Linked DNA regions of Cricetulus griseus. The protein of the gene in region 1 purifies or fractionates together with the protein of each later gene. This does not show direct contact. Links are inferred from orthologs where the notes say so. Each region holds a gene or a part of one and is shown in the gene's direction. Other genes may lie near its edges.

Region 1 (4,259 bases):
TCACAGTAGACATTTCAAGACAAAAATCTTAGAGCATTTGCCACCAACAGTACAGATTCCAAGGGATATAATTCAAATAAAGAAAACTCATCCCAAATAGAAAGCTCAGGGTGATTTGCAGTGGCCACATAATATTTAAATCAAATACATACTATGGTTCACATTGTACTATTATAGGATGCTTTATGTTTCAAAATTTGTTTCATTAATTGAATCTACTCTGAACATATTTCTGAACATGTTTGTGCATGTAATATTGTATGTTGATTTGATTCTAGAAGTCGGTACAACTAAGTCAAAAAAGGAATTTCTTGGTACATGTAAAATTATTTTAAGAGGGTTTTACCAATTTACATTTCACTCAACAGATTGTACTAGCTTTATTTACAAATGATTGTTTGGACCAGTTTTAAATAGCAAAGATTGACATTTTTACCAGATATTTATATCTTAGACAAAATTGTCTTGGTTACTTCTCTTGGTTTGATGTTAAAATGTGTTCTGAGTTTGAGTTCTAGCCCAGCCCCTCCTCAAAAACTTTTGAATAGATAAAATATTAATTGAGTTGCATTTTCTTCAACAGAAAATATTTCTAACTTTCTAGAATGCAGTCTTTAATTTTTCTTTATCCTATTTTTTAGTTTATCATTACTAACAAAAAAATATACTTACCCTGTTATGGTTTTGTTTTGATTTTGAGACAGGGTACTACTATTTGAACTCAGAGATCCACCTGCCCCTGAGCCCCAGGTGCTTGTATATACCACCACACTAGATAATTCAGCCTTGTAAAAAAATTGCAAATGGAGCTAAGGAGATGCAAGCATGAGAATTTGAGTTCAAATCCCCAGAATCTATGTAAAGGCAGTGACCGTAGCACACATCCCAGTGCTCCTTCTTCCTACGTTGAGATGAGAGGCTAGAGAATCTCCTGGAAGCTTCTTAGGTAGTTTGCCTAACATGGGTAGTGGTGTGTAAGAGACTCTCTGTCTGACAAGGTATAAGCAAGGAACACTACCAGGCATTGTCCTTTGACCTCTGTGCATGTACACTCACATGCACACACATACATGCAAAGAAGTGATAAATAGTCAGGCATGGTGGCAGTGGCTCATTCTTGTAAGCTAAGAGGCTAAGGCAGAGGATTTCTGAGCTGAACACTTGGCTGAGCTATAGTGTGAGACCTGTCTTAAACAAAAAACCACAACATATTTAAAAAAAAAAGAAAAAGAAAAAAATGATTGTACTGCTGTGATACTGTCGTGCTATTTTCTACCTCTGTGTTTATACCAACCAGCCAACAGGACAAAAGTAAACAAATATGTTTTTGTACAAGTCATTTTAAAGGGGGAAGGACTGTTAATCTGCTTGGGAATTGCATGTTTTAATGTGAGCTTGACTGTAAGATGTCATTTTTAACTGTCTTTTCTATTTCAGGCGCAAGTGAAAGTGTAGGAAAACATATGCTTGAAGCTTGTAACAACAACCTGGAGATGGCGGTCACTATGTTTTTGGATGGTGGAGGAATTGCTGAGGAGCCCAGTACCAGTTCAGCAAGTGTTTCTGCTGTCAGACCACACACAGAGTATGAATTTATTATTTATTGTAGCAGTTACTCTTTGCCTAAATTGCATTTTTATCAAAGTTAGGTTAATTTTCTAGCTTTGAAAAACATTTAAGGTTGAAAGAATCTGAAAAATAGTGGAAATTTTTGTATTTGCATTCTCTAGAGCATACCATCTTGTCTCTTTAATCCTCTCTCCTTTTCATTCCTCAAAAGAACTGTGCGGGTTAAAGATGGGCAGGCAGGCAGGTGACAAGAGTACAGGGTGCAACTGCTTGATTATATTTGGCCTGAGATTGAGGTTTGTGTGCTTCACAGTCACCAGCTATACAACAAAAATAATTTTGTTGGCTGAGGATTTAACTCAGTTGGTAGAGTGTCTAACATTCAAGAAGTTCTGGGTTTAAGCCCCAACCCTGAATAAACAGACTTAGTGACACATGCGTCTAAGCCTAACAGTTAGGGAGTGCCTATGGGAGAATTGGAAGGTCGAGGTCATTCCTAGCTACAGAGCAAGTTCGAAGTCATTTTGGGTTTGGGTTTTTTGTTTTTTAAGAACCTTATAGATTGGTATTATTATTTTGCATCTGAAGAAACTAGAGTATGGCCATTTTTTCTAAGCTACACAGCAGTTAAAAAGCAAATACAGTCTAATGAAGTTCATATTTCCAAATGTAAATTTTCCTATATTTTTCAGGAAAGTGAGTTATCTTGAAATGTTTTTGAAAACTAACGTTGAATGTATAGCTTAGTGGTAGAATGTGTGACTAACATACATGGGACCTGAGTTTAAGATGTAGCATCCCCCCCAAAATAAACAAACAAACAAACAAACAAATAAATAAATGTAATTGTGCATAAAAAAAAATACTAGTTTTTTAAGGGGCCGGAAAGAAGGCTCAGCAGTTAAGAGCACTGGCTACTCTTCCAGAGAACCTGAGTTCAATTCCCAGCCCCCACATGGCAGCTCATGAATGTAATTCCAGTTCTAGGGGATCTGACATCCTCACACAGAAATGCATGCTGGCAAAACACCAATGCGCAAAGTAAATAAATCATTTTTAAAAATTCTAGTCCATTCATTTTAATTACCTGCCTAATCACTAAAAGCATCACCACTGTATTTAGAACTGTATATATTTGATTTTCTAGCCCTTTATATTTTATTAGTGAGAGTTTGCAATAGATATATAACTTTTGAGCAAAATTCATCAGTCTTCGGAAAGTATTAGACTTGAAACTTGTTGGGACTACTATAGATACATGCCTCTGCACTCAGATGGCCATTGGGTTTTTTTTGGAGATACCATTGCTCTGTGGCCTAGGCTGGCCTTGACTTCAGATCTGTTTATATATTAGGATCTCAGGTGTGCCCACAATTCCCGGCTAAGAATTGATTTTAACAACAACAATAAAAAGCTTTAAAGGGGGCAGGGCGTAGTATTGAAGTTCCATCACTCAGGAGGCAGAGGCCGGCAAGATCTATATGAGTTCCAGGCCAGCCTGGTCTATATAGTGAGAAAAACAAAACAAAAAAAACCCTTAATTTAAAAGTTCTTAAGTAAGACTCTAATACTTTTAATCTTTTGTAATTCTCATAGTTTATAATAAGAGAAACTAAATATGGAATCATTTTAAATACAACAGGCAAAGGGCCAGAGTTTTATTTTTATTAAGTCAGACATAATTTAAGAACCAGGTCACATACAAATATAATTGTTCCTTTGTTGAGTTAAGTTCAGATTAATGGAATATTGTTTCTACATGAGTTAGGAACTTTAGAAATCATATTAATAGCTTACAAAGTTGTTGCTTGTTTGTTTTTGTTTTCTGATAACCATTCTGATAACCACCTCAAGTGTGATCCCATTCCCCAACATGGCTCAGAGGTGTTTTTTTTGTTTTTTTTGTTTTTTTTTTGGCTTTTCAAGGGGTTTCTCTGTGGCTTTGGAGGCTGTCCTGGAACTAGCTCTTGTAGACCAGGCTGGTCTCGAACTCACAGAGATCCTCTGCCTCTGCCTCCCAAGTGCTGTGATTAAAGGTGTGCGCCACCAACGCCCCGCTATGGCTCAGAGTTTTAATGGAAATCAATATTGATCCAGCTGATATGTTATGCCCCTTTAATTACAGCACTCTGGAGGTGGACCAGTGGATCTCTGTTAATTCCTAGGCCATTCTTGTCTACATGGCACATTCCAGACTAGTCTGTTCTAATAAATAAATAAACAAACAAATAAAATTGAAAAATGATTTAGTTGATAGGAACTTCAATAGTAGATATTTGCAGTTGATTTGGGGGAGCATATATATGTAGACACACACACACACACACACACACACACACACACACACGCTTGCTTATTTCCTTGATTGCTTGTTTATTTATTTTTGGGGAGCATATATATGTATACACGCACGCACGCACGCACGCACGCACGCACGCACGCACGCACGCACGCTTATTTCCTTGATTGCTCTTGATTGCTTGTTTATTTATTTTTGGTTGTGCCTGAAATAGTGGTTTTTGTTTTGAGGTAGGGTCTTACTGTATATTCCTGTGTAGACCAGACTGGCCTCAAACTCTCAGAGATCTGCCTGCCTCTGCCTCCAGGTTCTGGGATTAAAGGTATATACCACCATGACTGGCACTTTGGCTTTTGTTTTAATGACTTTAACAGGTAGGTAGGTGTGTGTG
Region 2 (4,936 bases), on another chromosome or scaffold:
TTTGATTAATCTTTTTAAACTATATATATATATATACATATAATATATACATCAATATAGGTGGAAATATAGCATCCAAATTGAGATTTTTAAAAAAATTATTTTTATTTTATGCACATTGGTGTTTTGCCTTCATGTATGTCTGTATGAGGGTGTCTGGTCCCCTGGAACAGGAGTTAGAGTCAGCCGTGAGCTGCCATGTGGGTGCTGGGAATTGAACCCAGGTCCTCCGGAAGAGCAGCAGTGTTTTTAACCACTGAACCATCTTTCCAGCCCCCAAATTTAAATGTTTTAAGTAAAATGGAAAATAATTTTGAAAGTTTGTTTATTTGAGATAGGGTCTCTCTATGTAGTCTTATTTGTTCTGGAACTTGCTGTATAGACCAGGCTGGCTTCAAATTTAGAGATCCACCTGCCTCTGCCTTTAGAGTACTAGGATTAAACGTGTATGCACTACCATGCCTGGCTTAATTGTGAGTTAACAAAATGTAAAGTATGCTTACAGTAATTTATTGTGTTAAATAGATGTTGAAACATTTTACAGTTTACTAAACATTTACTTGTTTTCCTAGGGTGATACAATTCTGGAGACTGGAGAAGTAATTCCGCCAATGAAAGATTTTCCTGATCAACATCATTAAAGAGCACTTAAAACTTAAAAGACTTGTGTAACAGCAAAAGTCTCTTCATATAGTTCGTATTTACTGAATCTGTTTCCTGGAAAAGTAACTAATAAAGCTTATTCTCAGAGTGTTGTTAATATTTCTTGAGACCGACAGTAAAAAAGACAAATACTAAAGAGCCATCAGCTACTTTTTTCCTGTCCGTTTTGATAAACAGGATGCAAAACACGTTTTAATCACGTGATAGGTTTGTTTACATACTGATGTGGCATGAGGTTATGAAGTGTTTGAAGCACTAGAATGAAAATCTATGATCTGGCCCTGTAGTGGTGGCACACGCCTTTAGTCCAAGCACTCAGGAGGCAGAGGCAGGCGGATCTCTGTGAGTTTGAGACCAGCTTGGTCTACAAGAGCCGGTTCCAGGATAGACTCCAAAGCTACACAGAGAAACCCTGTCTCGAAAAACAAAAAACAAACAAACAAAAAATCTATAACCTGATACAGAAAGAAAGGGCTGTTTGATCCATATGAAAAATTAGCATGCTAACGCGTATCACAAAAGACCATACACAATTTTGTATTGTGAATTTTACTTTTAAGTCTACATAGGTGCCATTTGAGGGACAAAACCAGGTTTTGCTGGGAACTACCAAAGTTCGTTCATTTCAAAGAATTTGTCTGGAAAAGCCTTCTGTAGCTGTCGTCGTGCAGCTACAGTTGATGCGTAGATGACGAATCCCCAGGAGAGCAAAACGATCACAAGTAGCAACTAAAAGAGGGGAGGAAAGGCGAAAAGAAAAATCAATGTGCTGGGTAGTTGGCCTGCTCAGGCCAGGTTACCAGCTAGCTACAGGTGGGAGCAGCCTGTCAGGCACTAGGACCCAGGCCTGAGGCCAGGGCCCGATAGCCATGACGTCAGGGGCGGAAAAGCGTGTCCTCCAGGAAGAGGCGGAGTCGGGGGCGGGGCGTAAACGCTCAATATAGGAATGGGTTTTGGAGTTCCGAGCTGTAGACGAACAGTCGGCCTTTGCCTCGCGGGCAGAGGGGTGCGGCGCCTGGGAGTTCCATCGTCCTCGCTACCTACCGCGGAGTAAATCCAGTCCAGGGTGCGGCGACTCACGGGCCTCATGGTAAGGGATCAGCAGGGGTGGGGTGGCGCGGACCTAGAGCTCGCTCCCCGAAGCCGTCCGCCCCGCTGCAGCAGCCATCTTTCCGCGGTTCCCGGCGCGCTTCCGCCCGAAGTTGGGGCGCGTCACGTGATCCGGGCCTAGCCCGCCTTTCAGGCAGCGGAGGAAATAAAAAATTTTAAAATCGCGCTTTTTTTGCGCTTAGATGGACATTCCTCAGTCCCCTTTTCCTCCAGTCGCAGTGCCTTATAGCGCAGAATAGTGTGCCATCGTGTGCATGTGAGTTTATTTGAAAATAGGCTGTTAGAATTAAAGTTGCCGTCCCATACCCGCGTCCGTTTCCACAAGATGTGGATAAACGATTATATGTGTATGCTTGGCACGAACAGTATCATCCACTCCCTTATGTAACTGGAGAATCGTTGTAAACTGTTAGTTCGGCCATTCATCGAGAACGTCTAGTAAGAATGCTGTCGCTTACTACTGGGAATGTTTTTAGATATGTGGCATTTTTAAAAATGTGTTACCCGCATGGTGGACCTGCCACTCAGCAAGTGTCGACGGGATGTTTAATCGAGTCTAGGACCTCAGCAAATGTGAAATACCAAGTCCCAAGGAGAGCAGTTTGGCAGGCGGGCAGCTCGGCCTGAGGATGCTGGCGACGTCCGCCCAGGAGCCCTGGCTGGCGGAGCCCGGACTGCGCGGCTTCGGGCGCGGATGTCAGACACGGTTTTAGTCTGGATTGCAGGGGCGGGAAGGGGAAGCAGGCCGCTAGGAGACAGGCGATGGCTGGGGAAGTGCTCGACGCCTGGTGTTCATCCCAGCTAAAGAAGACATGGGGACGAAGGCTCTGTGGGACTCGGTCCGATTCTTGTTACACTCGAGAGGATTACAGGAACTCGTCGAAGTTCGTGGGGTTTCGGTTTTTCCGCGTTATTTGGCAGCGATGAGTTCGTGCCTTTCCGCCCCCACCCCCAAACACGCGCCCCCCGTGGTGGGGGGCTGGGCAGGGTCTGGCGTCTGCCCTAGGCTCCGCCCCCTGCGGGCTCCTTCCACGGCGCACGCGCCCGGAACGTGGGGGGTGGGGCCGCCGTTTGCTGGGCGGGCTCGGAGGGGGTGGAAGGATGGGCCTCGCCTTCTCTCCGCCCCCAAACTGCCTTTGGTGATGAGCGTTCTACGTCACAGGGGTCGCAGCCGCCGCCGCCGGGGTCTCCGCTGTCTCGCGAGGAGGGAGAAGCGCCCCCTCTGGCGCCTGCTGAAGAGGGGAGGCGCCGAAGCCGCCGGGTACGCCTTCGCGGATCCTGCCGCCACCGGCCGAGCTTACTGAACCGACGGGAGCTGGCCTCCAGCGGCCCGGCCGGGCCTGCCCCCGCGTCCTCGGAGGTGAGTCCGGTTTGGCGGGACCGGGAACGGGCCTCCGAAGGCCGGGGTCGCGATGTCGCTACGACACGGGGGCACCTGTGGATCGGTGGCGGTGGGCGAAGGAGGGGAGTGTCACACAGCGCCGCCCGAGGAGCGCGAGCTTGAATGAATACTGGAAAGTGCAGTGTGTCCCAGCAGAACTGCGGCCCCTGCTAGGAAGTGTGACCTTGGCGAGTCCTCAGCCCCTGGACCCAGTCTGTGAAATGGGAGTAGCATTTCAGTTGATCCTTGTTATGTAATGTATGTCGTGTGTCTGTCTTTCCATCCATGCCAGCCGTTTTCAGGGCAAGGAAACCACTAAGACAGTGAAGTTGTGCAGTATTAAACATGTGGGCGGGCAGGGTTTGTGTGCCTTGCAACTTCATCACACATCTAGTTAGTGCAGCTTTCCTTCTGGGCTGGTAATTCTGATTTGTAGACTGGAGAGGGGCAGTGAAGAAGTAAGCACAGGGATTTAAGACTGAAACTGGAAAGCGTTTTTTGGTGGGTAAGTTTCTAGATTAAGAAACAGAGAAACAGGTGCTTAAGATTTAAGCTACTAATAGGTAGAGATTGTTGTTTGGGAGGAATTGAGGGTTTGGATTTTTAGTACATGAAATGCAAAAGGAAAAGCCGCAGTTGGCGCACTCAATCATCTTATCTGGAGTGAGTGGCTTTCACGGGGAATAGTTCTCAAGCAAACCCCTAATGCCCCATTTTGGGGCAGGGACTCTTGTAGCCAAGACTGTCCTGGAGTTCTTTTGTAGCAGAGGATGACCTTGATTTTCTGACTACTCTTGCCTTCCTCTTCCAGTGTGCTGGGAATGCAGGGTATTCCAGGGTGCCTGGTTCGGATAAATTATTTTTATACTGATATTTGAAATCTAGCTCCAGCCTTCAATCCCAGCGCTTGGGAGACAGGCAGGCTAGTCCCTGAGTTCGAGGCCAGTGTAGCTTAGAGTAAGTTCCAGGACAACAAGGGGTACACAGAGAAACCCTGTCTTGAAACCACCCCTCAAAATAAGAATTAAGTTTGGTCACTTATGTCCTATAACTTTTAGAATTGATTACTCAGACTTACAAATAGAACCCAGATGGCTTTTAACAGCCATTGTTCTTGTTTGTCTACATCTACTTGTGAATGTTATTAACCACTTTGCTTAGATACATTAGGTATATAATTGTTATTTATTACTATTGACTATTTTTGGAAACCTATCAGTTATTGATGATGGTCACTATCAAAATCAAACTTTTCCATAACTTATGCTGCTATGTTGAGTTCTTACTGTTCATCAAGCACATGAATTATATCCCTTCACATAACTTTTTTTGTCCTCTTTCAAATGAGTGCTGGTTGCCAGGCGGTGGTGGCACACACCTTAAACCCCAGCACTCGGGAGGCAGAGGCAGGCGGATCTCTGTCTACAAGAGCTAGTTCCAGGACAACCTCCAAAGCAACAGAGAAATCCTGCCTTGAAACTCATTCCCCCACCCCCACCCCCCAAAAAAAATTTAAATGACTGCTGGTATTCCATTTTAGAATTGAGAATGTTTGTCCCGGCTTGGTCTCTGGAGGAATCAAGCTAAGAAATGGTGATTCTAACATGGTGTGGTGTCACATGCCTTTAATCCCAGCACTCAGGAGGCAGGCAGATCTGAGTTGCAGGCCAGCCAGGCCTACATAATGAGACCTGTTTCTTCCCTATTCCCACCATCCTAAAAACTGTCGATTCTTGGTATTGACTGATGCTGCATTAGAGTTAGCATCGCTAAAGTACAACC
Region 3 (4,451 bases), on another chromosome or scaffold:
TGGTCCAGGGGATGTTACGGTGGACAGTGCATCTGGAGGGCGGGCCACGCAGGGTGAACCATGCTGCGGTGGCTGTTGGGCACCGAGTGTACTCCTTCGGGGGCTACTGCTCTGGTGAAGACTACGAGACACTACGTCAGATAGATGTGCACATTTTCAATGCTGGTAAGCCAGTTCTGGGACCTTTCTTGGGTTCCCACATCTGGGGAAGTAGTGGGCACCTGAATGAAATTTGGTGGTGGTCTCTGTGGTCAGGGGGTTTGGGTAAGAATGTTTAGTTTGGGATAAGGTGGCAACCTGGAGGGAGGTTCCCATAACTGAGCAGAACTGTGCCCACAGTGTCCTTGCGTTGGACAAAGCTGCCTCCAGTGAGGCCTGCTGTCCGAGGGCAGCCTCCTGTTGTACCCTATATGCGGTATGGACACTCAACCGTCCTCATCGATGACACGGTCTTCCTTTGGGGTGGGCGCAATGATACAGAAGGGGCCTGCAACGTCCTCTATGCCTTTGATGTCAGTGAGTATGGTCTCAAATGATGCCTTGGGGCTAAGGAGGGGGTTGTTGGTGGAGTCTTAGAGAAGGGAAGGCCAGAACTAAGGTGGGTGTGTCAGCTGGCCCACGGCATTCTCTTTCCTCTTTCCAAAGATACTCACAAGTGGTCTACACCCCGAGTGTCAGGAACAGTTCCTGGGGCCCGGGATGGACATTCAGCCTGTGTCCTGGGCAAGATCATGTACATTTTTGGGGGATATGAACAGCTGGTAAGTGTGGAAAAAAACTACAGGTTTATACCAAAAAGAGGAAAAGAGGAAAATTTTCATGGTGGAACAGAAGGCTTTAATTGGAAGGTGTAGAGGATTAAAGAGTAACCATTGACACCCCTGTTTTTCCTTTCTCTTCACTCAGGCAGACTGCTTTTCCAATGACATCCACAAGCTGGATACCAGCACTATGACATGGACCCTTGTTTGCACAAAGGTCTGACCTTTGTTCTGTCACATCCCCACCTTTTGTTGAAATCCTAGGAAGCTCAGTTAGCTTCCCCTCCTTGAGCCCCTGTTGAGGCTCTTCCCCGTCTCTCTGCTCTTGGCTAGGGTAACCCTGCACGCTGGAGGGACTTCCATTCAGCCACCATGCTGGGCAATCACATGTATGTCTTTGGGGGCCGTGCTGACCGCTTTGGGCCGTTTCATTCCAACAATGAGATTTACTGCAACCGAATTCGAGTCTTTGACACCAGAACTGAGGCCTGGCTTGACTGTCCACACACTCCAGTGCTGCCTGAGGGGCGCAGGAGCCATTCAGCTTGTGAGTGTCTGTTATGTTCGTGTGAACTTCCCTGTGGTATCCCATTCGCTCTTGACATGTCTTTGCCCTTCCAGTTGGCTACAATGGGGAGCTGTACATCTTTGGTGGCTATAATGCAAGGCTGAACCGGCACTTCCATGACCTCTGGAAGTTTAATCCTGGTAAAAAACATTACCCTTAAGGGAGGGATAAAGGACAGTGAGGTGGGAGGCAAAGAGTAACCCTGAATAAGTGAGGGCCTGGGGTGAACTGTGTGTAGCGATGTCTGGGTAGGCCGGGTGTTGATCCTCTATGAACTTCTCTTTAGGGTCCTTTACTTGGAAAAAGATTGAACCAAAGGGGAAAGGGCCATGTCCCCGCCGGCGTCAGTGTTGCTGTATTGTTGGTGATAAGATTGTCCTCTTCGGGGGTACCAGGTTAGGAGAGAAGAGGGGAGGTAACAGAAGAGGGGGAGGTATCTGAGTAAGGGGTCTTGTGGGTAGTTCCGCCACTTAATTCTTCCTCTTTGTGTCTGTACAGCCCCTCTCCCGAGGAAGGCCTGGGAGATGAATTTGACCTCATAGATCATTCTGACTTACACATCTTGGACTTTAGTAAGTACCTAATTCTGAAGTGCTCCTACTGTCAGGTTCTCTGTCTCTGGGTGGTGATCAGGGTGGGACCTGTCCTTTGCTCTGACTGTCCTTTAACTCTTCCGTTAAAGGCCCTAGTCTGAAAACTCTGTGCAAGCTGGCCGTGATTCAGTATAACCTGGACCAGTCCTGTTTGCCCCATGATATCAGGTAAAGCAAGTGGTTGCAGAGGAGGGGTTGCTTGAGGGTGAGTGACTGCGCAGGTGTGACTAGTTAGCTCAGTCTCAACGGAGAAGACAGACGTTTCTATTTTCTGGAGGTGAAATTTTTGTGAGGAACAAGGGAGCTGAAGGTGCAGCCATCATGTGACAAGTGTCAGCTCTGAAAAACACCTTTTGAGTTGTATAGTCATGCTCAGAAACCCTGCTTCCTCGAGCAGTTTTGTTTGGGGACTGTTGAGAGTGGCTGAATGAATTACAGGGCTGACTGCAAGGGGAAAGCTAACTGGACCCTCTTAGTTCCAGAAGTGAGAAAGGTCCTGGTTCCTTGCCTCTGAATTCAAGTATTGAGTTCAAGTGATGCTCCAAATGTCACTCCATGTGTCATTTATTCTCGCTTGCCACTCTGAGACAACCCTACTCCTTGAGCCAGTTCTTTCTTACTTGCAAAAGTGTGTGTGTCCTTTGTGACACAGAGCTTATAGTTTGACCTGATGAATCCCAGGTGCAGGTACCTTAACACTGAGTACATGTCTTAGTGTCTTGGTGTAAGGAATACTTCCTAAGACTTTGTTGAATGATAGGATTGTTTAAACATAATTTAATTGGGTGGGGTGGGTGGGAAAGACTTTAGGCCCTAAAGTTTAGGGAGAACAGGATATGAATCAGGACCTGAAGATAATAGAAATAGCAAGAATAGGTGCTCTAGTGGGAAGAGGTAGAAAGCCTGCTGGGCTGGATCTGCAGAGCAGGAGAGGTGTGCTGGGATGTTTACGGAGGTGGGTACACATTATCCAGGTGCTTGGATTCAGGAATCTGTATAAACAAAAACAGGAAATCTACAAGCTCTTGGAGGTGCATGAGTAGGTGGTATTGGATTGAGTGGTGGGTGGGGTCTGGTGGTTAAAGGGCTGTAAGGCAGAGATGGCTGTGGGAAATTGGAGGGGCTGCTGTGTTCCTAGCTTTGTCTAAAGAGTTCGGAGCTTGCCATAGAGACCACCTCTGACCTCTCTGCCCCTTTTGGCCTTCCAGGTGGGAGCTCAATGCGATGACCACCAACAGCAATATCAGCCGCCCCATTGTCTCCTCCCACGGATAGGAACTTATAGGAAGAAAGTTCCGCCGCCTCCCCTCCTGAGCCTGCTCTTGTCTTCATTGCCCCTGCCTGTCTCACCTGCCTGCCCCTTGGGACCCTGGACTCAGTATACCTCCACGTGGAGTTGGTGGACTAGAGGTGTTTTCTGTGCTGTGAATTCAGTGGGGAGTTGTGGGGGGAGGGCCACTCTCCTCCCTTGGGCCGAGGGCCCCTTCCCTTGGTGCTCTGTTCCCATCCACCTCCCTCCACGGCTCCTGGGCCTTTGCTCTGACCCAGGCCAGCGGGGCAGCCAGGCTGTGCTGGAAAGGGACAGGAGTCGGGAGAAGACAAGCCGTGTTGGAGCCTCAGGAGCTTCCCTCTCCTCGTCACCATCCCTCTCCCTGCTTGAGCACCTGCCCGGGAGCTGAAAGGAGCCTCAGCTGTTGGCATGAAACCCCTCACCCCCACCCCCCACCCCGGCCCTCGGGAGTGGGGACCAACAGACAGCTTCTCCCATCATTGAGCTGTTGCTGTACCCCCGAAGATCAGCCAGCTCTGATTTTATAAAATGTAAAACCTCAAAACGTGTCCTGTTTCTGGGGGCTACGATGGAGTTGTAAAGGGCCTCCCTTCAGAGTCTGGCTTGGCAGTCTAGCATCTGAAGAAACCCCATGGCACGGAGTACCTAATCCACCCCAGGATTTAGGTCTGGCTGGTATAGAGCTGCGCTTCTGCCAGAGCCCTCACCACATTGGCTCAGGGCCCCGGAGGGGGTGGGACTTGGGTATCAGTAAGCGGAAGTGGTGCCTTCCTCCGGACTACACGAAATATGCCGAAAGCTGGTGCTAGGACTGGGGCCCAGGGTTCCCGCGGAGCCATGCAGAGCAGGCGCGTGGCAGGCGACCAGCCGACGGGTGAGGGCCTAGGGTTGGTGGGAGTGCGCGGCATCTGCTGCGGGAACGGAAGGCCACCCTGGGCGCTGCGGTTCGGTGGAGGGTGAGAGGCAGTCCTTCCGGCGTTACGACGTTGAGGGAAGTTACTTGCTTTTGTTTTCAGGCCAATTTCGAACTCTTGGCAGTTCTGCCTCAGCCTCCCAAGTGCTAGGATTATAGGCATAAGCCTCCAGGCCGGGTCTGGGCAGATCCTCAAAAGTGGGATGAGGCTTCATCCTAGAAGGTTTAGTAGGGGTATGTAGCTAATTGGGCCCTAATTGAGCTGTATGCAGGCACTTGGAGATAAAGAATAGTCTAACCAGCAAAGCCAATTACCTCTAAGAAA
Region 4 (4,259 bases), on another chromosome or scaffold:
GCCTTCACCCCCTAAGTCCTGGGATTACAGATGTGCATCTCTGTGTCTGGTTTAACCAGCTTTTGGTTTGCAGTGTTATGTTTCAAGCATTTTGGTACTGAATGATTTTTGCTAGATGGTTTAACGGGGAAGATGAAATAATGTAAGGGGACTAGCAAAACAACATAGTGATTACCTTTTAAAATCTAGAGACCTATACTAGTAGGTATCCAATAGAATAGAATCTCGTTTAGTGTTCTAATGAGATATTTCATTATATTTCCAGTGATTCCCTATCCTTATTTCCAGACAACCACCAATCTTTAAAAGCCCCATTCACATAATTCCTTGGGGTCGCTTAAGTCCAGAAACTATTTCCTTAGCTTCTAATCACAGTGGTTTCCTAGTCCACACAACTTTATATGTGTCAGCTAGCATAGTCTTCATGCCTATAATATTGTAGTTTTGTTTTGTTACAGAATTGGGCAGGTGTTTTACCATCTTCCTATCTTTACTAACTTTTTATTGAACTGCATTTTATTTGGACTTGATTTCTTTCCATACAGAATAATCTTTGATAAAAGTTCTTGGTTGACTTGTTTGACTCACTTATAAAAGTCTTTAAGCCAGGCAGTGGTGGTGCATACCTTTAATCCCAGCACTCAGGAGACAGAGGCAAGTGGATCTCTGTGAGTTCGAGACCAGCCTGGTCTATAGATCAAGTTCCAGGACAGCCAGGGCTGTTACACAGAAACCGTCTTGGGTGGGGGGGTCTTTAATGTGACAGCATGGTTTGTGTAGTTTGTTCCCATTTCATAAAATGGAAAAAAGGAAGAATCTACTTGATGTATTGATCTTTACACTTTACTCCTGTTTTGTGTTGGATTCCTGACACAGCAGGTGATTTGGGCTGATCAATGAAGATAGTTCTTGTTCAGAATGTAGTGGGGGGATGTAGGTGACAGGCAGTAACCTAAGTAGATCTTAAATGAATTATAAATTTGAGTTGAAATTGTTAAAGCTTTTCCATATACCCTGACCTGCATCCCCCTAGAGGTAGTGAGAGCTAGCTGATATTAAACTTTGTGTCGTAGTTCATAATTGTAAAAATATATTTCTGTAGGTTCTAGGTAGATTAAAAGATGAAGAAATTAGATGTCGAAAATATTTGCATCCAAGTTCATATACTAAAGTGATTCACGAGTGTCAGCAGCGTATGGTAGCAGACCACTTACAGTTCTTACATGCAGAGTGCCACAACATCATTCGGCAAGAAAGAAAGAATGGTAAGTGCACCCTGTGGACATGTGAGTGGGAATTAAATGATACATAGAAGATTTCTATCGTTTGTTACTTACTTTGCACACTCCCTGGTATAGTATATGTTCTTTTCTGACTCAATATAGTTTAGAGTTTTGGAAAAGCATTTCCAAAGTACAGTCTAAAGTAAAAAGATGAATTAGGGAAATGTGTTTATGCTTTTATATATCTCAAGCGTTACTCTGCTTAATTTGAGAATTCCTTATCTGCAATAGGAAATCAGACTATGGAAAAAGAAGTACAGAATCAGGAAGGATAGGATAAAACAGGGATGCTGAATCTAACTCAGTTTAAAGAAATACTAGCAATAAAAGGTGAAAACACTTTTTTTTTAATACTTGATGTGTAGTCAGAATAAATACAAGACTGTAGTTGTCCCAACCTGCGGGACAGTAACCTAGGGCAAGAAGTCCAGGGAGGGGAACGGGAACAAGAGACTTGAGAGAATGACCACAAGACAGTATTCTGATCAAGTGGCAAATTTTATTTTTTCCAGGCTAGCTTATATAGGCAGTAGTATGGGGTAAAGGGGAGGGCGAGAAGAGGCCAAGAGCCAGGTGGGAGTATAAACTGATGCAGCTGTATTTGCAAAGCTATCACTGAGTGCCAAAGTAATATATATGTATATTTCATGGTCCAACAAGTATGCTAGACATGGGACTCCTTCCCTATGCATACATACATGCGTGTACAAAAATGTACAAGGGAGCCAGGCATTGGTGGCCCACGCCTTTAATCACAGCACTTGGAGGCAGAGGCAGGCGGATCTATGTGAGTTAGACCAGCCTGGTCTAACAAGAGCTAGTTCCAGGACAGCCTCAGAGAAACCCTGTCTCGAAAAACCAAAAAAAAAAAAAAAGTTGCTAAGCTAACTTACAGAGTCACATGAATAATACTACAACCTTAAAACTGCCCAGGATAGGATCCAAAGCTACAAGAGATACCCTGTCTCGGGGAAAAAAAAAAAAAAAACCGTACAAGGGTCTTCATAGCAACATTCTTTGTAATGACTAGAACTAATCCACATACCCAATGATGCTTATACCAGAGACTATTACAGAAGAGAAATGAACACACTAAACCTAAACACAACACAGATGAACCTTAAATGTAAGAAACAAAAGAAATCAGACAGAAACATTGTGTAATTGTTTATGTTCATAGTTCAAGCCAGGTGAGCTCAACCTGCGGTTACTGTGGTTTGCAGAAGAGCAGTAGTGGTCAGGAGATGGCTGTAGGGCATTGCTAGATAAGGAGTATCTGTTTTTAAGCCTGAGTGTGCACATATGGGGTGTTGTACTAATTTACAGAGTCATACAGACAGTTGTCTGCATGTATATTAATATCTCAACAAGTCATTTAAGATGAAGACAGTATGCAGTAGCATTATTTCTCACTGTTCAGTGTCACAGGAACTTCTTGCTTGGTTCTCTGCTTAGAAGGATCTCACTATAAGATCACAAACCATAGCATCTTCAGGGATTTATACTACAGATATTCTTCCCCAAGTTATTAATCACAACATCAATCATTTCCCAGTAATTGTAACAAAGCTGTGAAATACATGGAATTGCTTTATGTACTAGTATAAGATACTTGTAAGTTTAGATAGCCTGAAGTTGCTAATAGCACATACAATGCACAATAGTACTTGAGTCAAAGGAAAGAAGGGGAAGAAATATGTGTATTTTCTTGAATTTTCCTCCGTCATCATTAAATAGTAAAGAACAACAGCATTGCTTTCTTGTGGAGAGGGAGGTAAGGTGACTGGGAAGTGAGAGTGTATGTTTGTGTTAAAGTGGGGCGTGCCTTTTATCCACACATTCCTTTTAACTTCTCCATTTTAAAGCATGCATTACGTAATAAGGTTGAGAACTTAATAAACGCTCTTTTTCTCTCAGACATGGCAAATATGTACGTCTTGCTCCGTGCTGTGTCCAGTGGCTTACCTCATATGATTCAGGAGCTGCAAAATCATATTCACGATGAGGGCCTTAGAGCAACCAGTAACCTAACTCAGGAACACGTGAGTGTATAGAAGGGTAGAGCACACTCTCTTAACCAGACATAGAGAGGTTTTCTTTTGACCTTGATGGTTTATAAAGAAGGGCTTTGTCATAAGAAACTAAGCCACTTATTTATATTCAAATGTTTTAAATCTCGAACTTAGTGAGTTCTTGGGATTACTAAATTGTGAGAAGCTGTTGAGAGCAGCTGCTTCCTAACAGTACTGATTGCCACGAGCATTTGTTAACCTTCTTGCAGTTTCTATATAATTTTGTTTCTTTGTAAGCGGCAGATTTAAAAACCTTCCCTGCCTCTAGCTGGCCCCAGTCACTCACCCTCAGCTTCCCTAATCCTCATCTTTTTGAAGAGGCTCCTACCAGCCAGTGACCATATATCATAGGTGTTATTACTGGCCATGTTCAAAATTTGTTGCTAAGTTTGCAGAGTTTTGAGTGACACTGAACAAAAACTGAGCTTCATTTCAAGGCTGAGATGTGAGAATACGAATTTATGTCACTTTCAAATTCAGTCATTTTCTTTGAGAGGGAAACTCAATTTTAAGTATATTTCGACCCTTTAGCTTGGGGGAGTTAACTCTGCCCAATTCCAGGGTCCCATTCTCCCAGTAACTGGCTGTCTAATCCTCTTCTAGCTGCCTGGTGTTGACAGGCCTGGGACTTAGGGGTATGTATGTAGGTTTATATGGTAGAGGACTTGTTAGGCCTGGTGTTGAATAGCTGTCCCATTTGATAGAAGAGGAGTCTTAGATTTTTTCTTTTACTTGCCTCATTTATTTTGTTTAATGTTCATTGGTATTTTGCCATGGGTGTCAGACCCACCTCCCCCCAGACTGGAATTACAGACAATTGTGAACTGCCATGTGCTGGGAATTGAACCCAGGTCCTCTGGAAGAGCAGTCAGTGCTCTTAACCACTGAGCCATCTATCCAGCCC
Region 5 (4,738 bases), about 13 Mb from region 1:
CTAAGGGGGAAAGTAACTTTAATTACAGGTGTTCTGAAAAGTTCCTGACCCCCACTTATTGTAAAAAACCACAGTATAGTTAAAGCCCCAACTAATGATCCTCTCTAACAGACTCCTGTATTTCCAGCACTCACTATGATGCCACTCCCAACTATCACAGTCCTCTCTCAAATTCCATCTTTGATAGTCATTTATAGGTTCAAAGATTTCAGGAGTGAAACCATTTTCAAGTGAGTTTTTGTAAACAAACAAACAAACAAACAAAAACACCACTTGTCTCCCAGTATAGTTCAGAGAGGGACCGTTGGGCCCCTCTTTGGGTCACCAGCTCCTCAGCTCTCTCTGGTCCCTCCCTTTCTGCGCCCCACCCTCCTGCTGGGGCCAACCCTGTTCCCTCACCTCTTGCCCCCTGCCCTGTCTTCCTAAGGTATCCAAAGCTCACCTGAAGGATCTTGCAAGCACACAAGGCATCCACATCCGAGGCCACAAAGAGAAGGACCCTCTGTTGGAGGAAATGCAGACAGGTGAGTTGAGCACAGGCACTTCAAACTCTGTGGCAACACCCGGTCCTGCTGGCCCATTCACGGACACTCGCCCTCATCCCTTCCCCTCAAATAAGGTTTGGACCAGGATGGTGGAATGGGAGTCACCTGATTGTGGACCAGCTCGTAGAACTCCTTGCGGAAATCGGACACGAACATAGCCACTGCGGCCGGATACCCAGAGCTGGCGCTGAGACACCGGTAGCCGGGGAGGTGGTGAATACTCCCGCCAAATCACGGCTCTTCCAATTGGCCCGCGCCAGCAGCCAATAGTTCTTAGCCTTTCCTTCTTTCTGATTGGGTCCTATTGGGGACAGCCAATAAAGCTCTGCTATTCGCCGCTGGAGAAATCCCGCCCCCGCCCCACCCCCCCAAAGAAGCATCATCTTGAGTCAGGCTGCGAACCTTGTTACTGTCTTTGACTTCCAGTTACCCAAAACCCCCTACGCTCGGCGGACATCTTTACTTCGGGAAGAAAAGCCTACCATCTCATCCTGGGATACTCAGGAAAATACACTCCTAGACATAGTAAATTCAGTTACATATCGTTTGAGGACGGCAATTACGTTTTCAAGGCACTATAGCACGTACTTCCGCCCGAGTCCGTAATGGCTGAAGCCAAAGCCGGAAGCTCTAGCTGCATTCTGGGTATTGTAGTCAATAACAAGAATGGAGCCTACCAAGTTTGTTCGGGAGGGAATCTAAGCATCAGGAATAGTCGCTGTCCTGTGAAATAAGTGATCAAGTGTTTTAGTGTTTTCTTTGACTACTTTTCAAAGTTCAGGCATCTCCGTGATTTTCTGCTTTTCTCTGGTGACGCTAGGCCTCGGGACGCTCCCTGCGGTATCTCTCTCGTCACTTCCGGCGAGCCTCTCGCGGGTTCTGGGTTTCAGAGCGGCGGCCGCGGTTGTGTAGAGGGAGCTCTGGGTTTCTATTGTAAGGTTCACGAAGAGAAGCGGCGTCACCAAGTACTGTCAGTCATGGTAAGCTGGCTGGGAATCGGGAGCCGGGGGAGGCCAGTGCTGCCTGCGGCGCTCGGCGGGGAGGGCCTGGACCTGGCGGCGGAGGTGCCGAGTCACCCGGGCCTGCCTCCGGCCCGCTCCGCCGTCCCAAGCGCTTATGTTCAAAGTGGGATCCGTAGTTACAAGCCGGCTGTTTGCCTCTTGGCTTGTCGGAGTCATGACTTGTAGGCTTCTCGGCGGGACTGCAGCCCTTGAAGATAGAAAGGAACCTGCTACTTTGTGTCCATAGTTCTCCTAATATCTCGACACGCAACAGGTTTCCATGAACTCAAAGTTAACTGGAGCGTTCCTGGGGAGTGGCGCGAGGGAGGAAAATCCGAAGGACATTAAGCTTTGCCTAAGTTCCGTGGCCTTTTATGCAGTAGAGATTATGTCTTAGGATATATGTCACATTGTGTTCATCACGTTGTGATAACGACAGTAGGTGATATATTGGGCGCTTTTTTTTTCTTTTTCTTTTTCTTTATCCTGTCAGCACCCTTGTTTAATTCCTGCAGTCCTCTAGGAACGTAGGTAGTTATTATAGGAACCGAGAGATCTAAAACTTACAGGGTTAGTAATCACGAAAATGGAGGCCCTGAGATTTGGAGTCACACCCATCGGGCTGCAGCGGTGTTTCATTGCTACTGCATGTGATGTCGACTCCATGTCACAAGTTTGTTAAAAACAAGAAGTGGTTATTAGATTTTACTCAGAGTGTCACTGTTTAATCTTTTGTTTGTTTGTTTGCCTTTCGAGACTGGGTTTCTCTGTAGCTTTGGAGGCTGTTCTGGAATTCGCTCTGTAGACCAAGCTGGCCTCCAAATCTGAGATCTGCCTGCCTCTGCCTCCCGAGTTCTGGGATTAAAGGCGAGTGCCACCACCGCCCGGCTAAACCAAATTTCTAAGTTCATTTATGTAACCAGCACTCAGTGCTTGATGTGTTAGACATCAAAGCTTTAAACATGGACGATAGGAGCAGTAAAGGAGGAGCAGAAGATCATGTTGGAGGGATATTGCTAGGTTGCTGCATTCTCTATGTATGTTTTTATGTTTCAGACAGAATCAAGAGTGGCATAGGGAAGGAGCTTTGTTCATTCAAAATGGGTTTTGTGGGTTATGCACCTAAGACAGAGTCAAACAGTTCTGGTGCTTAGAGAAAAAGATAAAAGATTGAAAATGTCTGTGCTTGTAACCGAAGAACCATCCTTTAAGATGTTTTGGTGGGAATGTGTGTGTGCCTAACACATCAAGTACTCAGTGCTAGTTACATAAATGAACTTAGAAATTTGATTTAGCCAGACGGTGGTGGCACACACCTTTAATCCCAGCACTCGGGAGGCAGAGGCAGGCAGATCTCAGAGATGGGAGGGTTGTTACGTTTGAGTCTGTATCTGCATGAGAGGTCAGCAGACTATCTTGGGTGCAGTCTCTCATGTCTTGACTTTGCTTGCTGGTTTGAGAACACAGTCTGTTCTGTACTGTGAGCATCCCAGAGAAGCACCAACCCTGACTCATGGCCAAGAAAGGGGGGTTTGCTGGAGAAACAAAGGGATTGCTGTAAAGAGCCAGATGAAGCCTGGCATACACAAGCATACATTGACAAACTGCTTTTCTAGCACCTGGAATGTTTTCCTGCCCAGTTGACTTGTGACATGTAGGCCTCTAATGAGGATGTCCTCTTGAACACTTGCTTAACATCCATTCTCAGGTGCTTTCTGTCCCCATTCCTACTTCTTGTCTTTAAACCCCCAGACATATGTGTTCTGTTGTTATCCTCCTTGTCTTTAACATGAGATTCACCAGGGCAGAGGTGGTATCTGCCTTCTTAGTACCCAAACATTACTAAAGTGATGTTCCTTAAAGCCCACATCAGAGCTGTGCAAATAGTAGGCACTCAGAAAAAGAGGTGATGTTCTAAGTTAAGGGTGGAGGGGGGAAAAAAGGCTCCAGATAGTTACAAGCCCAGCAGGAATGTGCCAAGTTAGGAGATGGTAGGTGGTTGGTAATGAGTTTCTGTGAGGTATGTGTAAGGTCCAGCCTTGATCTGAGAATAGGGAATAGTAGCAAAAAGATGGGAAGGGAAGGCCTGGTATGACTAAATCTTACTTTAGTAAAGTTGCAGTGTCTACAGATAATGGAAACTGGACCTGAGGGATGAGATGGGGAGAAAAAAGGATTTGAGGTTCATGTGCTGCCAGAACACTCTGGTTAATGGGATTTTAATGATTACATTCTTTGGCCACATTTATCAGCACTGATAAATGCTTAGTCTTTGGTCTGGAGAAATATACCTTTGAGCTAGATACAGTGGCTGCACTGTAGTCCCAGTTATGTGGGAGGCTAAGTCACAATCCTCATCTTTTTTGTTTTGTTTTTTAACTACCTTTGTTTGATTTGATAATAATACCATTTCTTTCTTCCTTCTAGTTTTCTTTCAACATGTTTGACCACCCAATTCCCCGGGTCTTCCAGAACCGCTTCTCTACGCAGTATCGCTGCTTCTCCGTGTCTATGCTAGCAGGGCCTAATGACAGGTCAGATGTGGAGAAAGGAGGGAAGAGTATGTGCTTGTTTTTATTTTGAATAGTAACCTTTCCTGCCCTAAAGTCTATGAATGAAATGAGCCTTGTAGTCTTCTATAGCCCTTATTTTGCATGTGGGCATCAAACACTAGCATTGTAGTAAAAATGTCACTCATCCTAGGGCATGGATGGTGGGAGCAGGGTGCTAATTATGTTTGATGACCAAGTGCCATTCAGAGCACAAAAGTAAATAACAAGTAAGATTCTTTATGAAAAGTATTATGAAATTCTGGTTACCCTAAAACCACTGTTTAAAGCTTTTAAAAAATGCATCAGAAAGTAGACATCTTGCCTCTACTTTGTTCTATCCCTTTTATTTTTATTTACTTAATATTCCTGAAATATTCTTTTTCACAGTAATTATGCCGCCCTCTGCCCTCGATCAACTCAGTAAGTATTTCTAAGTGACTTAACGATTTGGATAATATAAGTGTGGTTGCCCGATGTGAGTCTAGGTTTTTCATTGTGTTCAGATACAGGTAACATTGGTCAGATGTGGCTAGAATCCTCTTTGAAGGAGCTGGGCTTTGGTGGCGCATGCCTTTAATCCCAGCCCTTCGAGGCAGAGGCAGGTGAATCTCTGTGAATTCGAGACCAGCCTGATCTATAA

What was found.
Region 2: the proteins of Ubxn7 (region 1) and Topors purify together in Homo sapiens (affinity purification with mass spectrometry; 4 studies listed by BioGRID and IntAct, with this or other methods). This does not show direct contact. The link is inferred for Cricetulus griseus from reciprocal best matches to the Homo sapiens genes UBXN7 and TOPORS.
Region 3: the proteins of Ubxn7 (region 1) and Klhdc3 purify together in Homo sapiens (affinity purification with mass spectrometry; 3 studies listed by BioGRID and IntAct, with this or other methods). This does not show direct contact. The link is inferred for Cricetulus griseus from reciprocal best matches to the Homo sapiens genes UBXN7 and KLHDC3.
Region 4: the proteins of Ubxn7 (region 1) and Cul2 purify together in Homo sapiens (affinity purification with mass spectrometry; 6 studies listed by BioGRID and IntAct, with this or other methods). This does not show direct contact. The link is inferred for Cricetulus griseus from reciprocal best matches to the Homo sapiens genes UBXN7 and CUL2.
Region 5: the proteins of Ubxn7 (region 1) and Ufd1 purify together in Homo sapiens (affinity purification with mass spectrometry; 3 studies listed by BioGRID and IntAct, with this or other methods). This does not show direct contact. The link is inferred for Cricetulus griseus from reciprocal best matches to the Homo sapiens genes UBXN7 and UFD1.

What each region holds. Positions count from the first base shown.
Region 1 is NC_048597.1:57,184,625-57,188,883, reverse strand, and holds part of Ubxn7 (UBX domain-containing protein 7), read left to right. Parts: intron 1-1,437; coding exon 1,438-1,585; intron 1,586-4,259. UniProt on the Homo sapiens protein: Ubiquitin-binding adapter that links a subset of NEDD8-associated cullin ring ligases (CRLs) to the segregase VCP/p97, to regulate turnover of their ubiquitination substrates.
Region 2 is NC_048595.1:102,285,940-102,290,875, forward strand, and holds the start of Topors (E3 ubiquitin-protein ligase Topors), read left to right. Parts: upstream 1-1,595; 5' UTR 1,596-1,707; coding exon of another isoform or gene 1,708-1,750; coding exon 1,751-1,753; exon of another isoform or gene 1,754-1,899; intron 1,900-2,277; exon of another isoform or gene 2,278-2,771; intron 2,772-2,935; coding exon 2,936-3,133; intron 3,134-4,936. Other genes in the region: Ndufb6 (NADH dehydrogenase [ubiquinone] 1 beta subcomplex subunit 6), read left to right, coding at 573-641; Smim27 (small integral membrane protein 27), read right to left, coding at 1,270-1,392, 1,708-1,752. UniProt on the Homo sapiens protein: Functions as an E3 ubiquitin-protein ligase and as an E3 SUMO1-protein ligase. Probable tumor suppressor involved in cell growth, cell proliferation and apoptosis that regulates p53/TP53 stability through ubiquitin-dependent degradation.
Region 3 is NW_023276806.1:256,093,836-256,098,286, reverse strand, and holds the end of Klhdc3 (kelch domain-containing protein 3), read left to right. Parts: 5' UTR 1-11; coding exon 12-165; intron 166-339; coding exon 340-516; intron 517-645; coding exon 646-761; intron 762-906; coding exon 907-978; intron 979-1,094; coding exon 1,095-1,308; intron 1,309-1,382; coding exon 1,383-1,469; intron 1,470-1,615; coding exon 1,616-1,724; intron 1,725-1,827; coding exon 1,828-1,901; intron 1,902-2,011; coding exon 2,012-2,090; intron 2,091-3,130; coding exon 3,131-3,197; 3' UTR 3,198-3,757; downstream 3,758-4,451. Other genes in the region: Rrp36 (ribosomal RNA processing protein 36 homolog), read left to right, coding at 4,003-4,087. UniProt on the Homo sapiens protein: Substrate-recognition component of a Cul2-RING (CRL2) E3 ubiquitin-protein ligase complex of the DesCEND (destruction via C-end degrons) pathway, which recognizes a C-degron located at the extreme C terminus of target proteins, leading to their ubiquitination and degradation.
Region 4 is NC_048596.1:210,660,010-210,664,268, reverse strand, and holds part of Cul2 (cullin-2), read left to right. Parts: intron 1-1,102; coding exon 1,103-1,265; intron 1,266-3,200; coding exon 3,201-3,325; intron 3,326-4,259.
Region 5 is NC_048597.1:70,383,075-70,387,812, reverse strand, and holds the start of Ufd1 (ubiquitin recognition factor in ER-associated degradation protein 1), read left to right. Parts: upstream 1-1,367; 5' UTR 1,368-1,522; coding exon 1,523-1,525; intron 1,526-3,973; coding exon 3,974-4,106; intron 4,107-4,485; coding exon 4,486-4,518; intron 4,519-4,738. Other genes in the region: Cdc45 (cell division control protein 45 homolog), read right to left, coding at 443-502, 651-701. UniProt on the Homo sapiens protein: Essential component of the ubiquitin-dependent proteolytic pathway which degrades ubiquitin fusion proteins.